Neurospora crassa OR74A: one gene and its partner. The protein of the gene in region 1 purifies or fractionates together with the protein of each later gene. This does not show direct contact. Links are inferred from orthologs where the notes say so. Each region holds a gene or a part of one and is shown on either strand. Other genes may lie near its edges.

Region 1 (4,405 bases):
TCAGCAGTCATGATGCTCAGAGTGGGCAGGAGCTCTTCCACTTTGTTACTCAGCCTTGATAACATTCCAGTATGCTCTCAGGGAAGGAGCAGACGAAGGTCAATCTCATCCGGCCGCTTGGCCATAAGCAGAAAGTCAACTGGTGCCGTCTGCCGCGGTCGGTCTGGAAGTTGACAGTCTGACACCTCGTTGTTCATCAACACCAGCGGCCGCCGCCCATTATCTTGGCATCACACTTATGATGCCCCCTGGTCAGGACCTTTCCTCGCTTTGCCAAAGCAGAATCTGTCCAAATACTGATATCCAAAATTAAAATTGGTATCCTCAGCCAAGCAGCAGGTTTGCCAAAACATGGCAGCTTCGACCACATATTTGGCTAGAAATGGACAAACAGATTGGGGTGCCATTCCCAAATCCTGTATCCAAAAGTCCTCAAGTTGCCTAACCGATGCCGGGGCTGAACTCAACTCTAACAAACGAAAAAGAAACAAAGATTTCCTGTATTTCCCGCACACCTCATGCTCAAGTTTTTGCTTATAAAAAGTGGGATCGAATCATTATACATATGGTGGTTGAGAGAGAACACAAACATGACACTGAATGGAACCTCCCAAAAGCTTTTGTAGCATCAGCTCGCTTTTTTGTCAACCAACTGACTGACATTGTCATTCCATCACCTCTCTTCCTCCCATCCATTCATCCATCCTTCCAATGCCTGCCCATTTCTATAAAATCTCATGCGCCGGCCTGCCGTGAACTTGGGGCCAAGTGACTGCTATCTAGTTTGCAGTCGCTCGATCCGTATAACTCCACTGAACGTCATCCAAAACAGAGTGCTATTCGCGTTTAAAGGAGGAGCTCGAGAGGGTTCTCAATGACCTTCTTCAACTCGCGGATCCACTCGGCACCGACAGCACCATCGACAACCTTGTGGTCAAAGCTGGCAGTGACGATGATCTGCTCGTCCCAAGAGACACCGGTGGTGCCATCCTCGTTCTCAACGGGGACGGCAACCTTCTGGGGGGCGCCAACGGCAAGGATGGCGGCCTGGGGAGGGTTGATGATGGCGGTGAAGCTCTGGACGGCGGGGTTCATGCCCATGTTGGAGATGGAGATGCTGCCACCCTGGTACTCCTCGGGCTTGAGCTTGCCGTCGCGGGCCTTCTTGGCGAGCTCCTTGACGGCGGCCGAGATGCTCTCGAGACCCTTGCCCTCGACACCCTTGACAATGGGGGTGATGAGGCCGTTGGGGGTGGCGACGGCAACGGAAACGTCGACGGTCTCGAACTGGCGGATGACACCGTCGCGCCACGAGCTGTTGACGGTAGGGACGCGCTTGGAAGCAATACCCATGGCCTTGATGAGGAAGTCGTTGACCGAAAGCTTGTAGCGGCCATCAGCAGAGCTGTTGAGCGCCTGGCGGAGCTTGAGAAGCTTGCTGACGGAGAGGTTGGTGGAAACGAAGAAGTGGGGGTTCTCCGTGACAGACTCCTTCAAGCGGGCGGCAATAGTCTTGCGCATGCCAGAGATGGGGACATCAGTGTAGGCAGCGGCGGCGGCACCGGCAGCGGGAGCGCTAGCAAGAGCCTTCTTGACATCCTCCTCAGTGATCTTGCCACCGGGACCAGAGCCCTTGACGTTGCGCAGGTCGATGCCCTTCTCGCGAGCGAGTCTCTTGGCAGCGGGGAGAGCGTTGGGCTCGCGCTCGAGGGCAGTCTGGAAGCGGCCGGTGAAGCTAGTGTTCTCGGGCTCGGGAGCGGGAGTAGGAGCGGGGGTCGGAGCGCTGGCGGTGCTCTCGTTCTTGGGCTCATCCTTGGGGACAGCGGGGGAGGTCTCGCCGCCGGCATCCTTGAGGGTGAAGTCCTTGAAGGCGTTGACGTCGGTGCCCTCCTCGACGAGAATGGCAATGGGCTAGAGAAGGAGGAAGAAGCATGGTCAGCATGGGTCGTCTGTCTACATTAGGCGCGCACAAGCTAAGGCGACGCGGGGCGTGTAGACGCTCAACGGCACCATGACATATCACCCGACAGGCGAGACACAGGGCACGAGGCGCGCACGAGGCATAAAGGAAGAAGAGTGGATTCAGGGTCGAGTGGGGAAGAGGGTCGGGATGGGAGGAGATGTGCATGGAGTCATGGAGTTGGAGTAGGTAGGGCTGGAGTGTTTGGCAGGTATGATGACTCGTGGCTCGACAGGTAGTGTAGGTAGGTACTTACGTTGCCAACGGCGACGTCCTTCTCGCCCGAGTCCTTGAGGATCTTGGCGAGGACACCCTCCTCCTGGAACTCAAAGTCCATCTGGGCCTTGTCGGTCTCGATCTCGACGAGCACCTCACCGGGCTCGATCTTGTCACCGGGCTTCTTCTGCCATGCGCCAATACCGCCCGAGGTCATGGTGGGCGAGAGGGCGGGCATCTTGACGACGGTGTGAGGGGGGTACGAGGCGTACCATCTTGTGAGGCTGGGGAGGGCGACACGGGCGACGCTGGCATGGCGGAGAGCCTGCCTTGAGAGGACGGGGACGATCATGGTGAGAGGGTGTGATGTGAAGGTTGGGTGGTTGTGGTGGTGTTTTTTTTGAGAGAGGAGGTTGTGTTCAATTTGCTAGTATGGAATGTTTATGTGGGGATTCCAAACCAAGCTGGAGGAGCAGCACTCAGCAGCAGTGGCAGCGGCGGCAGGACCTTGGAGAGGGGAAAGGCCGACCGGGGGGGAGGGGGGCAGAGGGACGCGGGTTGGAGAAGCTGGCTTGTGCGGAGGGAGGCCGGGATGTCTGATTGATGGACGCGGATTCGCAGTAGGGCCAAGCCTGGAGGTGTAAGTCGTCGACTGCGCGAGTCAGGTTGATGCGGAAAAAGAGTGGAAAAAGAACGGGAAGATTGCAGGTTTGGAAAGATGGAAGACTGCGCGAGATGAGATTCGACCTGAATGACGGATTCGTCGTGGAGAGCACAACAGGAAGATGACAGCGGGCAGCGGCGGGATACGGAGCCGGACTTCAATCGGCGACACTCGTGAACTTTTTTTTTTTTTTTTTTTTTCCCTCTCTCTCCACTGCGGCGGTGGCATCACACTTTCTCACTTCCCGTCACCAACCACACTCACCACACTCACTGCCCGCCTTGTGTCCCCTCAGCTCCTTGCTCTCTGCCCCCCTGCGATTTCTCCCAACAGTTGGGGGAAGCTCCCCCCAGCAGTTCCAGCGTAAGCAGAGCCCCCGCCGAGCCAAGGCCAGGCTATTTCAGGGCTAGCACGGCCTCGCAGCTGCCCGGTGCCCAAAGACAGCAGGAGGCCAAGCTTTGAGAATCCCCCGGTCGCGCAACGGGGAGTAAATGACGCTAAGCCTAATGGGGGCAGATGGATGATTGATTACTTGATAAGAGAGGTTGCAATCACGAACTGGAATTGTCAAGCTAACCTAGCTTTGGAGCAGTGATATCTTGTTTGAATATCTATATGTATGAGCAGCGCGCATGGAGGTGCTATCTGTATTTGCGAGTTATGAAGACCTGAATATCAAGTAACCTTATGGACCAAAGTGAGATGCGGACTTCAACAGTTCTCCGATGAACAACCTCGAGAGAGATGAAGTGCTGACAGGGACATCGGACTGGCAGCTGCACGGATCCATAACAGTTCGCGCTAAGGTACGGATTACGTTCTGCGGGCCGATCGGAGGATTTGATTGCGATGGAAACCGTCAACTCCAAGAGGATTGGACTCTGCAGTGTCAGTGATGTCAAACTAAGGGACCCGATCCATGAGAGATGCTGCAGAATGGCATATAATGACAAAATTGGACTGGTGATGACATTTCAGTTTTCGTATGTACAAGCAATCAGGAGCAGCTAACAACGGTCTCTCGTCATCAGTCATATTCCCAACCTCTGAAGAGCTTCGTATCCGAGTTGCCCTGAGATCGTGTTGTAGAAGCTGAAAAGGCACACGACTTGGTTATTGATTAAACTTCCCACGAGGTATTCATACCATCAAGACTCCAAGCCTATGGTAGTAACACAAGTTACAGTTTGGCTTCCCTCCGATGGATGTGAAATACGCCGTGTCATGGATCACCGGTGTCCAATATGTCCAAAGACAACTGATACGCAAAAGAGATGGGATCCATATCTACAATGGAAGACGGGATTGAATGGCTATCATCGGATTCTTCAAAAGCTGACGCCGGCGGCGGGCTACCAATGAACAGACCAATTACTGACCCATGCGTCAAAAAGAGTATCCACGGCTGCAGTTCCGGCAGGCAAAGCGGCTGGCAGATAGATTGATACGTACGGAGATAAAGTGAGAGGTACGTAGGTACGTGTAGGTACCTGATGGAAGAGGAAGGGAAGTGGAAGGGTCGGGAATGGTCCGTGCCCGCGACACTCACTGCAGCCATCAGGGTC
Region 2 (4,571 bases), on another chromosome or scaffold:
CAATTTGATCTCCAAATCTCCAACAGCTCAAAAATGTTGGGCTGAGAACCCGATTTGATACGACAGACAGGGCTGGCAATTCGAGGCTGGGCAGGGAGGGGCAGGCTGCGATACGATATCGGACCTCATCTCACAAGCCCAGTCATTCAGCTGTTGCATCATAACAAGACAGCTATCTTGAAAGCTTATCAATTTCATAACCCGCCTTCCCTTTCCCCATCCCTTTCCCCTAAAACCTGTCTAGATATATATATATATATATGTGTTTGTGTGTGTGGTTGTGTTTGTGACTGTTTTGCGCTACGCAGAAATGTTTTATTATACAAGGAAAATGGAAAGAAGAAGTGACGACCGTCCATGATGGCCGACGTAGATAAAAGACGCCAGCACCATTTTTGGTTTTGTGATATGCATCAGAGGAAAGGACAAGTTTCTTGGTTGTAACTTGAAAAAACCCATCTAGTTTGTCATTACTTCTGCCTCTCTACTCAATTTTAACTTTTTTAGTGCTTGAAGTAGAAAAGCTCATCAGGGGTACGGCCACGGATGAAGTCGGGCTCGGTACCCTTGACGTAGATGTCCTCAAACAGAATCTGCTGGTTGGCCTCCGGAGGAGGCATGGCCTCGGCGGCGGCAACCTCCTCGTTGACGTAGGCGCGAGCCTCCTTGTCGAGGTTCTTGAGCTCCTCCTCCGAGGCAACACCCCACTCGAGAATGTGCTGCTTGAGGCCGGCAATAGGGTCGTTGGTGGAGCGCATGCGCTGGATCTCCTCACGGGTACGGTAGGTGGTGCCGGGGTCGGACATGGAGTGACCACCATAGCGGTAGGTGACGTACTCGAGCACGAGAGGGCCGTTGTCGTTGTTGGTCCACTGCTTACCGTACGCGACGGCAGCCTTGACGGCAAGGACGTCCATGCCGTTGACCTTGAGACCGGGGATGTACTGGCCACGCTTGTAGTAGTCGGTCAAGGCCGACGAGCGGGCGGCAGAGGTACCCATACCATACTTGTTGTCTGCACCATCATACATGTCAGTAAGAGTATCTAAGACCATGAAACCTGGGCTACTTACTCTCGCAGCCGAAAAGGGCAGGGAGGTTCCAGAGCTTGGCCATGTTGAAAGACTCAAAGACCTGACCCTGGTTGCTGGCACCATCACCTATAACAATGTATTAGCCTTCCGAACCCCCAACGTTGTTCCCACCAAGAAAAGGCTTACCGTAGAGGATGATGGAAGCGTTCTTGCGGCCAGTGTACTTGTGGGCGAAAGCAAGACCAGCACCGACGGCGACCTGCGCACCGACGATACCGTTACCGCCGTAGAAGCCCTTGGTGAACATGTGCATGGAACCACCCTTGCCGTAGGCAATACCGCCACGGCGACCGAGAAGCTCGCCAATGATGGAGCGAACGGTACCGCCGCGCATGTAGGCGAAGCCGTGGCAACGGTACGAGGTGATGACGTCGTCAGCTCTCTCGATCGCATGCTCGATACCGACGGCGACAGCCTCCTGACCAACGGACAAATGGCAGAAACCACGAATCTTCTTCTCCTTGTACAGTCTGTCGGCGGCCATCTCCATTTGTCTATATGCAGAGAGAGCAATGTGTTAGCTATATGCTATGTGGTGAAGCCATGTTGATCCTCCAGGCCGAGATCGGCAGAGATAGGAGGGGGGAAGCTTAGAGCCCCCCGGTGAGGACAAGGGGGATTGTAGTCTTTGCATACCTGACGACGACCATGTCGTAGTACATCTGCTTCAGCTCCTTCTTGGTGACATTGAGGGTGTAGGGAGGGGGGTCGAGCTCGTAGGTCTCGAAGCTCTCATCGCTGAGGGTGACCTGGAAGGGCTCGGTCTCCGACTAGATTGAAGCAAAATTGCATGGTAAGCTTATCGACGTTCCCAGGAGTAGTTGTAGTAGCGACAAGTAACAGTCTTTGGATTGCGCGCAAAAATCTGCACAACCCAGCCCCCAACGACGACAACGACGGCGACGACATGATATGTTTCGAAACCACCAAAACAAACGGTGTTCATCTGGTGTTTTCTATTGACTTGACGTCAAGAGAATCAAGGCGGGTCCGGCGGGTCCGGCAGCAAGCGGTAAGGTAGACAGACTCGCATGGGACATGACTTGCTTGACTCGCGACGAGCGTTGCTTGGGGGACTCGGGGAGGGGACATGACTAGGGAGTCTCTCCCTCCCTCCAGTCTTCTTTTGTTTCTCCAACACACACAATACCACCATCGAAACCCACTTCGAACGACATCCCGACATCAACAGTAAACAAACGTACCTCTGGGAGGGGCTTCTCGAGCTGGGCCGAAGCAGCATTGGTGGTGACGGACCTCCTAGCGGCGATCGAGGGAATAACGACACGGGGAGCAGCAACGCGGGCGCGGACGGGCGCCGCTACCCTCGTCGATAACCGGGCTGCGCGAGAAAACATTCTGGATTATCTGTCTCTCTCGTCTCGCTGGGAAATACGATGGCAGCTGAGAGATTGAAAGAGTTTGGGGGGGTGGATGACGACAGGAGTGGAAGCGGAGAGAGGACGAGAATGAAGGACGAGTCGACGAGCAAAAGCAAACTGGCAAACTGAAAATCCTTGGGACGGGAGTGTGGAAGGGTCGCGAATTGATGGGCTCCGATGGGGTAGGTAGGCGAGCCAGGGCGCCCGGTACGGCAGGACTGGGTGCGGGCAGCCAGGGCAGGTGTGCAGCACCTAGCAGGCGCAGCACGTCAGGGAACGAACTCTTCAATTGGAGATACGCCGGGCGGCGCTCACAGACAGGGCACCAGCACGGATAGGGTATCGTCGGATATGTGTGTTACGCTGTGGCCCGGGGGATTTTTTTTTCTGGCATGGAGATCCCCCAGCTAGGTGTACTGTCACTGCTTACTTACCTACCTTACAGAGTTACAAGAGCTCTCTGTCCACTGCTACTAGAAAAGCTTGTCAAGGCGGGCAGGTACTAACGCGATAGGAAACTCCCACAAACGGTACGTGTACCGGTATGCCGGCCGTTCTCCGGAGCTCGTTTTGACGCTGTCAGGGCTGTCAGAAAAAATTATTATGGATCTCCCCGTCGCGGTCCATGAGCTTTTGGAGGAGAATGGAGGGGAAGGGGCAAGGAACGTCCAAAAAAAAAAAGTCCACAGTCAGAGGGGCGAGGCGAACGAGTGTTGAGCAGAGGCAGAAGCTTGGGTAGCACGCGCTAACTGAGTTTGGCATTGCATGGATCAGGTGGGGGAAGGAAAGTTTGTTGGAGATCTCCATTCGAGCTTACCTCCATGACAAATTATATAAGACCCTCGTTTGCCGCCCACGAGTTGTACAGCCAAGGGTCTCGATGATTTCGTCACGGACGAGGTGAACTGAATGAAAGACTCGCTCTTGTTCGTTTTCGTCCTTCTCCTTGTTCGCTTCCAAAGACACCACCACCACCGTCACCACTATGACCAGTTATCACAGCGGGCGGCACTCAGTACTATGCCGCCATCCCATCGACTCCATTGTGAACCCCATCAAAAATGGAGTTTGACATTCCGGAATGCCCCACCCAACAGCCGCCGCTTTCCACTTGCCTCACGAACCCTACCTAACCTCGATCGGGAATAATTGCTTATCAGTTTTCTTACCACTACAGTTTAGACGACAGGCGTGGCATGCAGGTAACCGTAATCAACATCTGACCGAACATGGCCTTGAAGGATTCTGCGTATATAGGGCAAGGGCACTTTTAATCCAATTCGGCGATATCTTCATTATGAACATTATCAACAAGAAAAGTATCACAACCGTCCTGATGACAGACAACATAACCACAAAAGCATAAAGCCCAGCATAAGACAAACCATCGAGGATATCTGCCATTAACCTATCGCTACAAGTCTCCCGTCCTCTTCCCCCGGGTATTTATAGACAAGTGGGTTTAGTATCCTATCTTGGGATAAAACATACGATATGCATACGTTGAGGGAGTGAACAAATGCAAAACAGGTATAAGATATAAGGCATTGTGGACCGATGGCATGTGTATGTCTTTCATAGTCCCGGTTGCCGTAGTGTAGTACAGTGTCTCGCAATATAGTAGTGTAGAGTTCCTGAACGAAGTGTATTTGTACCGTGACCACATCCAATGCCGAGTTGCTCATCCGCTTCTTGATGGACTCTCTCCTCTGTCCCGTCTGTCTGTCCGTCTGTCCGTCTGTCTGTCCAGCTGCGTGCGTTTCTGATATAGATATAAAGAACAAGAGAGAAGACGCAAAAAATAAAAGAAAAAATATGAATGCTGGTCCGTTGTCTGCCTGTCCGAATGCGTGTGGGTGTGCTTTGAAAACCTTCATGTGTGTGTGTGGGTGTGAGTGTGTGTGTGTGTCAACGCCATAGCAATGCTCCCTGCAAAGTTTCCGCGCTTAGTGATCATGGGTGTTGCCGTCACATCTGCAACCTCAGCCAGCTGTACTGGCGCCGCGCGCTATTTGAGATTGCTAGGTGCGCTCTCCGCTGGTCTTTGATTCATCCGACTTTCGCCAACCAATGCGCTGAAATGTATCGTGGGGTA

Evidence for each region.
Region 2: the proteins of ace-4 (region 1) and ace-2 purify together in Saccharomyces cerevisiae (affinity purification with mass spectrometry; 4 studies listed by BioGRID). This does not show direct contact. The link is inferred for Neurospora crassa OR74A from reciprocal best matches to the Saccharomyces cerevisiae genes LAT1 and PDA1.

The regions. Positions count from the first base shown.
Region 1 is NC_026504.1:431,361-435,765, reverse strand, and holds ace-4 (pyruvate dehydrogenase complex), read right to left. Parts: upstream 3,041-4,405; 5' UTR 2,529-3,040; coding exon 2,217-2,528; intron 1,912-2,216; coding exon 847-1,911; 3' UTR 249-846; downstream 1-248. UniProt on the Saccharomyces cerevisiae protein: The pyruvate dehydrogenase complex catalyzes the overall conversion of pyruvate to acetyl-CoA and CO(2).
Region 2 is NC_026503.1:1,563,150-1,567,720, forward strand, and holds ace-2 (pyruvate dehydrogenase E1 component alpha subunit), read right to left. Parts: upstream 2,902-4,571; 5' UTR 2,453-2,901; coding exon 2,300-2,452; intron 1,865-2,299; coding exon 1,731-1,864; intron 1,589-1,730; coding exon 1,221-1,588; intron 1,161-1,220; coding exon 1,074-1,160; intron 1,016-1,073; coding exon 504-1,015; 3' UTR 62-503; downstream 1-61. Other genes in the region: NCU16634 (hypothetical protein), read right to left, coding at 3,880-4,353. UniProt on the Saccharomyces cerevisiae protein: The pyruvate dehydrogenase complex catalyzes the overall conversion of pyruvate to acetyl-CoA and CO(2).